Linked DNA regions of Lytechinus pictus. The protein of the gene in region 2 purifies or fractionates together with the protein of the main gene of each other region. This does not show direct contact. Links are inferred from orthologs where the notes say so. Each region holds a gene or a part of one and is shown on either strand. Other genes may lie near its edges.

What was found.
Region 1: the proteins of U6 snRNA-associated Sm-like protein LSm1 (region 2) and protein PAT1 homolog 1-like purify together in Homo sapiens (co-immunoprecipitation; 3 studies listed by BioGRID and IntAct, with this or other methods). This does not show direct contact. The link is inferred for Lytechinus pictus from reciprocal best matches to the Homo sapiens genes LSM1 and PATL1.

What each region holds. Positions count from the first base shown.
Region 1 is NC_087263.1:11,873,731-11,877,817, forward strand, and holds the start of protein PAT1 homolog 1-like, read right to left. Parts: upstream 2,732-4,087; 5' UTR 2,649-2,731; coding exon 2,610-2,648; intron 2,253-2,609; exon of another isoform or gene 2,121-2,252; intron 1-2,120. Other genes in the region: deformed epidermal autoregulatory factor 1 homolog, read left to right, coding at 3,176-3,629. UniProt on the Homo sapiens protein: RNA-binding protein involved in deadenylation-dependent decapping of mRNAs, leading to the degradation of mRNAs. Acts as a scaffold protein that connects deadenylation and decapping machinery.
Region 2 is NC_087256.1:4,034,732-4,038,818, forward strand, and holds the start of U6 snRNA-associated Sm-like protein LSm1, read right to left. Parts: upstream 2,677-4,087; 5' UTR 2,407-2,676; coding exon 2,361-2,406; intron 1-2,360. UniProt on the Homo sapiens protein: Plays a role in the degradation of histone mRNAs, the only eukaryotic mRNAs that are not polyadenylated. Probably also part of an LSm subunits-containing complex involved in the general process of mRNA degradation.

The DNA.
Region 1 (4,087 bases), on a different chromosome or scaffold from region 2:
TACTGAGCCCAACCAAACCCCCGTTTAAATTATCCCAAAGCTATTCTAAAACTAGGTCTCAATCTAACCCAATCTATCTTATTAAATTCTTTCTTTTATTTTCTTTTGGCAACTAAATTACAAAAAAAGAGTCCAAAAGTATACCCCAATCAATTTATGGTTAGGCACAATAATAAGCCCGACCAAGAACCTACTTAAATTTATCCCAAAGTGGCCCCAATAAATTCTTTTATTTTTTAGCGACTAGAATTATAAAAACCGGTAAAAGTCCAAAAATATACCTTTCCACAGTTAATGGTTAGGCACAATAATTAGCCCGACCAAAAACCTGCTAAAGTTATCCAAAAAAGCTATCCCAAAAAATTAGGTCCAAATGCAGACCCAATTTATTTTATAACAATTCTTTTATTTTTAGCAACTAAAATTATAAAACCGGTATAAGTCCAAAAATATACCTTTAACAGTTAATGGTTAGGCACAGTAATTAGCCCGACCAAAAAACCTGCTAAAGTTATCCAAAAAAGCTATCCCAAAAAATTAGGTCCAAATGCAAACCCAATTTATGGTATAAAATTCTAGCTTTTATTATTAATTAGATTAGTTTAGTCCGGTTGTTGCTAATAGTTTGCACAAGCACTGCCAAAAAGAATAATTGTAGCTCTAAAAATATTTATATTAACCTCTAACGTTAAGCCTATCTTGTCTTTTATTAATTTACCTAGGCTATTTATTTTATTAATCCTCGAAGCTGGTTCTGTCCTCAATCACGCTAGTGACTAGTGCCCGCTCACACCACAGACAAATTACATGTACTTATTCACATACACAGTCACCCCACACTCTCTCCAAAATTTTTTTTTATTTCTTTTATTTATTTGGCAACGGACTCCCCGCTACAACGAGTGGGTGGGTCCACACGCAACACAACACTACACACTGGCACCAAAAACCAACCTATTAGGTATGCAATACACAACCAATGGTCGTGCACAGTTGCACTGGATCTAACGTCAAACCCGGAAATGATCGGGCGGTCTAACTGGTTAGATCTCGATAATTACCGTGAATTCTACCCAGCTTCGAGTACAAAACGTTCCCCCAAAATTTGGACAAAACACCCTAAAACACCACACAAAATTCAAAATATCCGAAATAGGCAGGCGAGAGAGGATTGGGATAATGCCCTACCTTTGTTGGTCAGTCTGGCTTCCCGTCCTACTCGCCCAAATAATCGCCGTTGTTTACCCGTATACGTGCGATGGATTGGTCCGGCCTGACGTCAGTTCGGATCTCAAACTAGACCCAAACGTTGAGCCGACGATGTAAAACAAGATGGCACCGGTCGGTGGCAGAGAGAACCAATAATATCTCTCCGCCAATAGATCGCCGTGAAATCTTGGATCGGGCCGTGCGCTTTTACCTAGCCGGAACACACACACTCTTACGCACCTCTCACCCCAACAAAAATAGTTCACTCACAAATCACTCGCAAAACGACACAAAAATCATCCAAACACCCAAAATCACAAGCAAATCACACAATCACACCAACGTGAAACACAGTCCACAACTAAAAACGGATATTAAAGCACAAAACTAAAACAAACTCACAACACAACAACACGTGTGTTCTCCCCCCTTTTCTGGAAATTTCCGTCACGGGACCGGAACTACCATCAGTCCCCGCGACGAAAACCTTACCAAAAAAGACAGGGGACGATTGCCTAAATATGTCCCAAATCAAGATTTAACCTCTCAATTCAGGACAATCGCAAACATGAAACAAGGGACAATATTCATAGAATATACGCAATACGACAAGGCTCTGAATTTAGCCTTATCAACTGTAATTAGCCCAATCTAAAACTGATTTCTCGTACTCGAGCGGCGACCATTTCCCCCCACGCAGCGGGGCATAGGGATTTGCTCGTCCGATGCGCAATAGGGGGCCGTTAGCTCGCCGCGAGACAATTATACCCCAATTAATTTCAATAATTTGGCCTAAAATGCCCACAAAAGCAGGCACAGTCAGGCTCGCAGCGCCACTGTAGCGGTCGCGCCCCCAGCTTGACCACTAGGTTGATACCTGAAGCTAAGAATATAAGGAATAAATCACCTACCAGTAGTTTTCTGGAGTGATGTCCTTAGATCCTGTCTATTCCGTGTGAGTTCAGCTTCAAATACGATGATCCAAGGGATCCAACGTCCTCCAGCGTCTAAAAGGGGTCCAGCGCCATCTCCCGGTGGAAGACCTATATGGGGGGTGGGGTGACTTACTACAACACGATTTACAAACATTAATTATCCCCGCTTTTTCAAAACTATGGCACTTACATTGCAGTCAGGAGTAATACATCAAACATAATAACGTTAGGCCCCTGCTTATTAAAGTTAGGAGCGCAAGGAAGGAGTCGTCCAATCACTCCAAATCTTAAAAGACTTAATTAATCAATGGCCAAGAATATCCTTTAACTTACACAAAAAGCCGTATGTAGGACCAAAGCACCTAATTGAATATCTAAGTTTTGAGATAAATTTGTTAATTTTGCAGTATCTATACCCAAAGAAAATCAATTCCATATCACAAACACGCATAGAAAATAACTTACAGGTAAATCTCCGGCATAACCAAATAAATTGTCTGTCATCTTGTTTTTGCAGTGTTGAAAATCCTGACTTTGGTAAAATCCATTTCATCCCAGTTGAAATAAAATATAAAGACGACAAAGGTTAGCACACTTTGGCAAGGGGGTACTTCTTTATTTGTGCAGCGAATATGATTTAATGATCAATATAATAATGCATGTTTGATTCATTACGATTCTACGAATTTATATTTTTCGATTTTGCATACCGTACTTCTTTTCTTTATATCGATTTATATTTTCAAAAACTGATCAAAAATTCGCAAAATAACTCTTCTTGCGATAAACATTGTCATTTTACCCCTAAATCCATATGGACGTTTCCAATGTAACCTTTATCGCGCATGTGTAATGAGTCTCCGAAAAAACGAAAGGGCGAGGGAGCCATATTGCGAGTGTTTTACGAAATTTCCCGACCATACCGTTTAACAATTTTAATTCTCGAAATTTGTACTTTTTATTTGCGATTTTCATTTTGATCGGACCGATTATTAATGTTCTATAGTTTACAGTCAAGTATAGCGGCTTAAATGGGGGACAGTAGTGAAGATATGGAAAATACAGAAGTTACCGAAGTGACGGTCGGAATTGCCGACATCTCCGAAGGTCTACCGAGTCCAAATGCCGACGATTCTGCCTTCGCGAATGATTCCGTTTCAGTATCGTCTGGTCAAATTAGCACTTCTGCTGTTACCGAACATGTTTTTGCAGCAACGCCTACAGGAATATTTACTGCTAATGGACTGCCTGTTCAAGTGCAAGATGGTGCCCCTCTGAAACCAAGAATAATTGCTGTGGTGCAGCAAGCTGATGCAGCAGCTGCTCTTGTTGACGGTTTAAAGACTCCGGCTACCCCCTGCACTCCGTCGTCGCCATCGGGGGAGAAGCGGCACTATACGTGGGACGACACCGTTCACTTGGACGTGCTGCCAGTGAGATGCAGAAACAACGGTGCAGAACTGTTCAAATCTAAATTAGGTTCTGGTAGGTGTAATGTCTGGGAAATAAATACAAGATATACAATGAGGTTTTTCTAGTAGATGCAAATAGTGTGAATTAGGCCCTAAAAATGAATAAATCAACTGAACTGGGTTTTATACCGGTATACAGTAACTGAGTAAGTCAGTAACACTAACAGTAACAGTTAGAGGCGCACGGCCAATATTGGAGACTGTCTCCAATATCAGAGACTTGTAAAGAATTTGGGTATCCAAATTCATAGACAGTCTCCAGTTTTGGAGACCAATTTCCTTTGTTTACATTAGCTGCAAAAGGATTATTTACCTTGGCGGCAAATAAAAATGTGATAAGCAGATTCCTCATGAAAAATTACCCCTTTTCACCATCTACTTCAAAAATTCACCGTCAACTTTTGTTTTGACAAGGATTTTTGCTGTAAATCACACACAAAACAAATGGGCTTCTGACCTCAGTGAGACAAA
Region 2 (4,087 bases):
CCATCAGTTTACATTGGTACCCATGAACTGGCAACTGTTCAATCAACCAAACTTCTGGGAGTCATTATCCAAAACATTAAAATGGGACCAAAACACAAATGATATCATAAAGAGATCAAACAGCAAAATTCACATGCTTAGATTATTGAAATGCCATGGTCTTCCCCAAGATGATTTGTTGACAATATATAGGTGCTACATTAGGCCAGTGCTGGAATATGGAGCTCCTGTATGAAATGGGGGACTCACCAAAGAACAGATCACAAGATTAGAAAGAGTTCAGAAAAGGGCTTTGAGGTTAGTTATGGGCACATGCTACTCTACTTATGATACTGTCTTAGTGGAATTGAAACTCCAATCTCTCTCTGATAGAAGGGAAGATTTGAGTTTGAATTTCTTTAAGAAAACTCTAATCAATACAGACCAATTCAAATCGTTTTTACCTCCAGATAATCCAAGATTGTTGAGACGTAAACCCCTAATCCCTGAGCCAACATGTAAAACCAAACGAATGCAAAATAGTGCAATACCGTATCTCATTCGTATACTGAACAATAACCAGAATAAGTGATGAGTGAGTATGCTACTGTTCCTCCCTACCTGCTCTTTGGACTTGTCAATCCCTTAATGCTTGTGGTCTTGTGTCTCACCTTCCCCTTCGACTCTTTATTACCTTGTCTTGTCTTTCCATTATTTAATGCCCACAATCATTATATTGATTATGGCATATGAATGTCAAGATTGACTTGACCTGAATTTTGCCGGGACCTGCAGGTGCAATACACCGGGTGAACACCCTACTCTTTGACGAATAGTGTATTGGTTTTAACGTGCATAGGTTGTGACTCTCCTATACACAGGACCAACATTTGCGTCCTTTCCGATGGACGGAGTGTTTTCCAACTGCATTTACACCTGCACTGAATACAGTGGTGAGGCACGCTAACACACAACGCTATAGCATCAGATTTTTGTTTGTTAGACGCGTTTCGGCATGAGCGGGACTCGAACCCCTCACGTTGAGATCTACGATCTTATCAGAAACATGCGCTCTAACCGACTGAGCTACGCTCCCTCCTTTTCTACTTAACTCTCTCCTTCCCCGCATTCTGTTTTTCCTTCTCCCCTTTCTTTCCTCTTCTCCTTTTTTTCCCTTCTTCTTCTTGTAATTCTTTCTATTATCTCCTTCCCTTTTCTTTTACCCTTGCTTCTTCCTTTTCACCTTTGGTCTCTTTGACTGTTTATTCCTTTTCCTTCTCATTATCACCTTCTCTCTACTTTTCTGTATTTTTCTCCATTTTTCCTCATTTCTTGCTTTTCACCACTCTGTTTTTTCAACACAAACACTATGCACTCTATTTTTTACGATGCAATCTGGTACAATACAGACAAATTTTACATTTTTTTATCTTCCCAGTTTACTATGTTGAATTCTAATTATCTATAACTAAAACAGATTTTTTTTCTCTGGTAGCCTCGCTACCGTTCTCTCGTCCTCTTTTTTTTTCCTTCTTTCTTTTTTGCTTCGTTGTATATTTACATTGTATCCCCAATTAAGTTGTTTTCACTATTGAACAGTTACTCCATCTCGTTGATTATATTGTTCTTGTTTTTTCTTTCGCCTTCAATTTTAATTGCTGCTTCATTTCTTTATCCTTTTGTCCCTTTTCTCCGCACTTTTGTTATTCTGCCTATATTTTTCTCTTTATCCTTCATCTCTTGTGTATTCATATATTTAATTTAATCCTGAATTGCACACGATCTGGTACTTTTTGCATAAATTGCATGTCTAATCTTTTTTCTCACATTGATTCTCTGACTTTGTATTTTTTGTTTTAGTTCTGTGATTCTTGTAATTGACGTTAACGTCATATTGAACGCATTTAGTCTTGTGATAAGTTTTTGTTTATTTTATGTTTTGTACCATATTTGTTGCTTTATTGTATTATGTTTTTGGTGTTATATTCCACATTATGCTTATACCTTATGATTTCAATCTTTATATTGTAAAAACTTTTTGTAATTCGGCTCTGTGCTGCGATGGAAGTTTTTATCTAAACTTAGACTAAATAAACCATTTTGAATTTAATTGAAAAAGTTACTGAATTATTAAAATTTCACATATTATACACTCATCTATTGTCTATATTTCTTTGAAAATAGTTGTTAGCTACCGAGGCGAAAGAGATAGTAACAGAGAGACCTCGATTCTCGAAAAGCCTAGACTAAATCACTAGTGCCGTGGTTTCAGAAAGCAAGTGCCTGACATAGAATTCAACATGTGGGACAACATTGCACATTCATTGTCATTCATTTACTCAGTAGGCCTAGATCTATACAAAACGGTTCTTGGGTCTTACTATTAATTTCATCGATCAAACTAGCTGTTCCTGGCATATACTCCATCTTGCAGACCGATCGTAGGATGAGTGGTTCTAGTGCTAGGCTAAAATCTAGGCCCTAATGTTGACTCCTCCTCTGACTCTGATCAGTGTCGATATGTCACTGACGTTTCCGATCATCCGATCCTCCCAACGAAAATCATGTTAAAGATACCATAGGTTATTCAATTCAATTCGACCAACAATTTTATTCGTAAAAAATTACCGGTATACACTTCTACCCGACTCGGCCTATCGGTCCTGTCCTTACACAAACTGAGTTCTCAATAAACTTATCAGATTTTTACAAGGGCACTGCCCAAATTCCAAGAAAATATTAAAGGTCAAGTCCACCCCAGGAAAATTTTGATTTGAATAAATAGAGAAAAATCAAACTAGCATTGTGCTGAAAATTTCATCAAAATCGGATGTAAAATAAGAAAGTTATGGCATTTTAAAGTTTCGCTTATTTTTCACAAAATAGTGATATGCGCAACTCAGTGACATGCATTATGAGTCAGTCGACAGAGGCGTCGATCCTGGGGGGGCAGGGGGGGCGATCGCCCCACCAATGAAAATATTGGGGGGGCAAACATATCATTTTGCCCCCCCCCCCCCCAATAATTCCGGATATGCATAAAAAAAACAGATTGTAATGTTCAGCAAGCGAGATTGAGATACACAACTCGTTCTTTATTTAAAATTTTTATTGTGCTCAAAATGTCCGTTTTCAGATTGGAATATAAAAATTTTCAGCTCGCGCTCGCATCATTTCTTTAGCAAAAACCCATACTTTTCATGATTAAATTGGTGAATGTAAATGTCCAGTTTTCAGTTCTAAGCCTAAAAAGAACTGCTTCAATTTGCAATCATCTTTTCTTGGATATATAGCTTGTTCTTTATCAAAAACGTCCAGTAAACTGTCATTTTTTCAGACCGAAATATCAAAATTTTCAGCTCGCGCTTCGCGCTCGCATCTATTCTTCTTTTAGATACAAATCTTAATCATTGGTACCAAAAATGCTTAGAATATCAAGTTTTCAGCTCAGAATATAAAGAAATTTGAGCTCACTCTCGGCACTTGTACTATCTGTGTAGTGAGATATGTATCCTCCTCATGAGTTACTACAAACAGTCCTAAACAGGCACGCTTTTCCTGTCAGTATACTAAAAAAATCAGCTCGCGCTTCGCGCTCGCATTAATTTGTTGGTGAGATACGTGTCTGTGTGTGTGTGTGTGTCTCTCTCTCTCTCCCTCTCTCTCTCTCTCTCTCTCTCTATATATATATATGTGTGTGTGTGTGTGTATGTGTGTGTGTGTGTGTGTGTGTGGGTGGGTGGGTGGGTGTTTTGTACGATCGAGTGCCGTTAATGATTTTGCCCCCCCAATCTGAAAAATGGATCGACGCCCCTGTCAGTCGATGATGTCCATCACTCACTTTTTCCTTTGTTTTTTATTGTTTGAATTATACAATATTTTGATTTTTACAGATTTGACAGTATGGACCAATTTGACTGAACCATATAGTATTAAACAATGCTAATTCCACATGTTCAGAGAGGAATTAATCATTGTTTTACTTGACAATGAGGAGAAAATTAGAATATTTCATATTTCATATAATAAAATACAAAAGAAATACTGAGTGGATGACGTCATCAGTATCCTAAATTGCATACAAGCCAGGATAAGCAAATAACTGTTT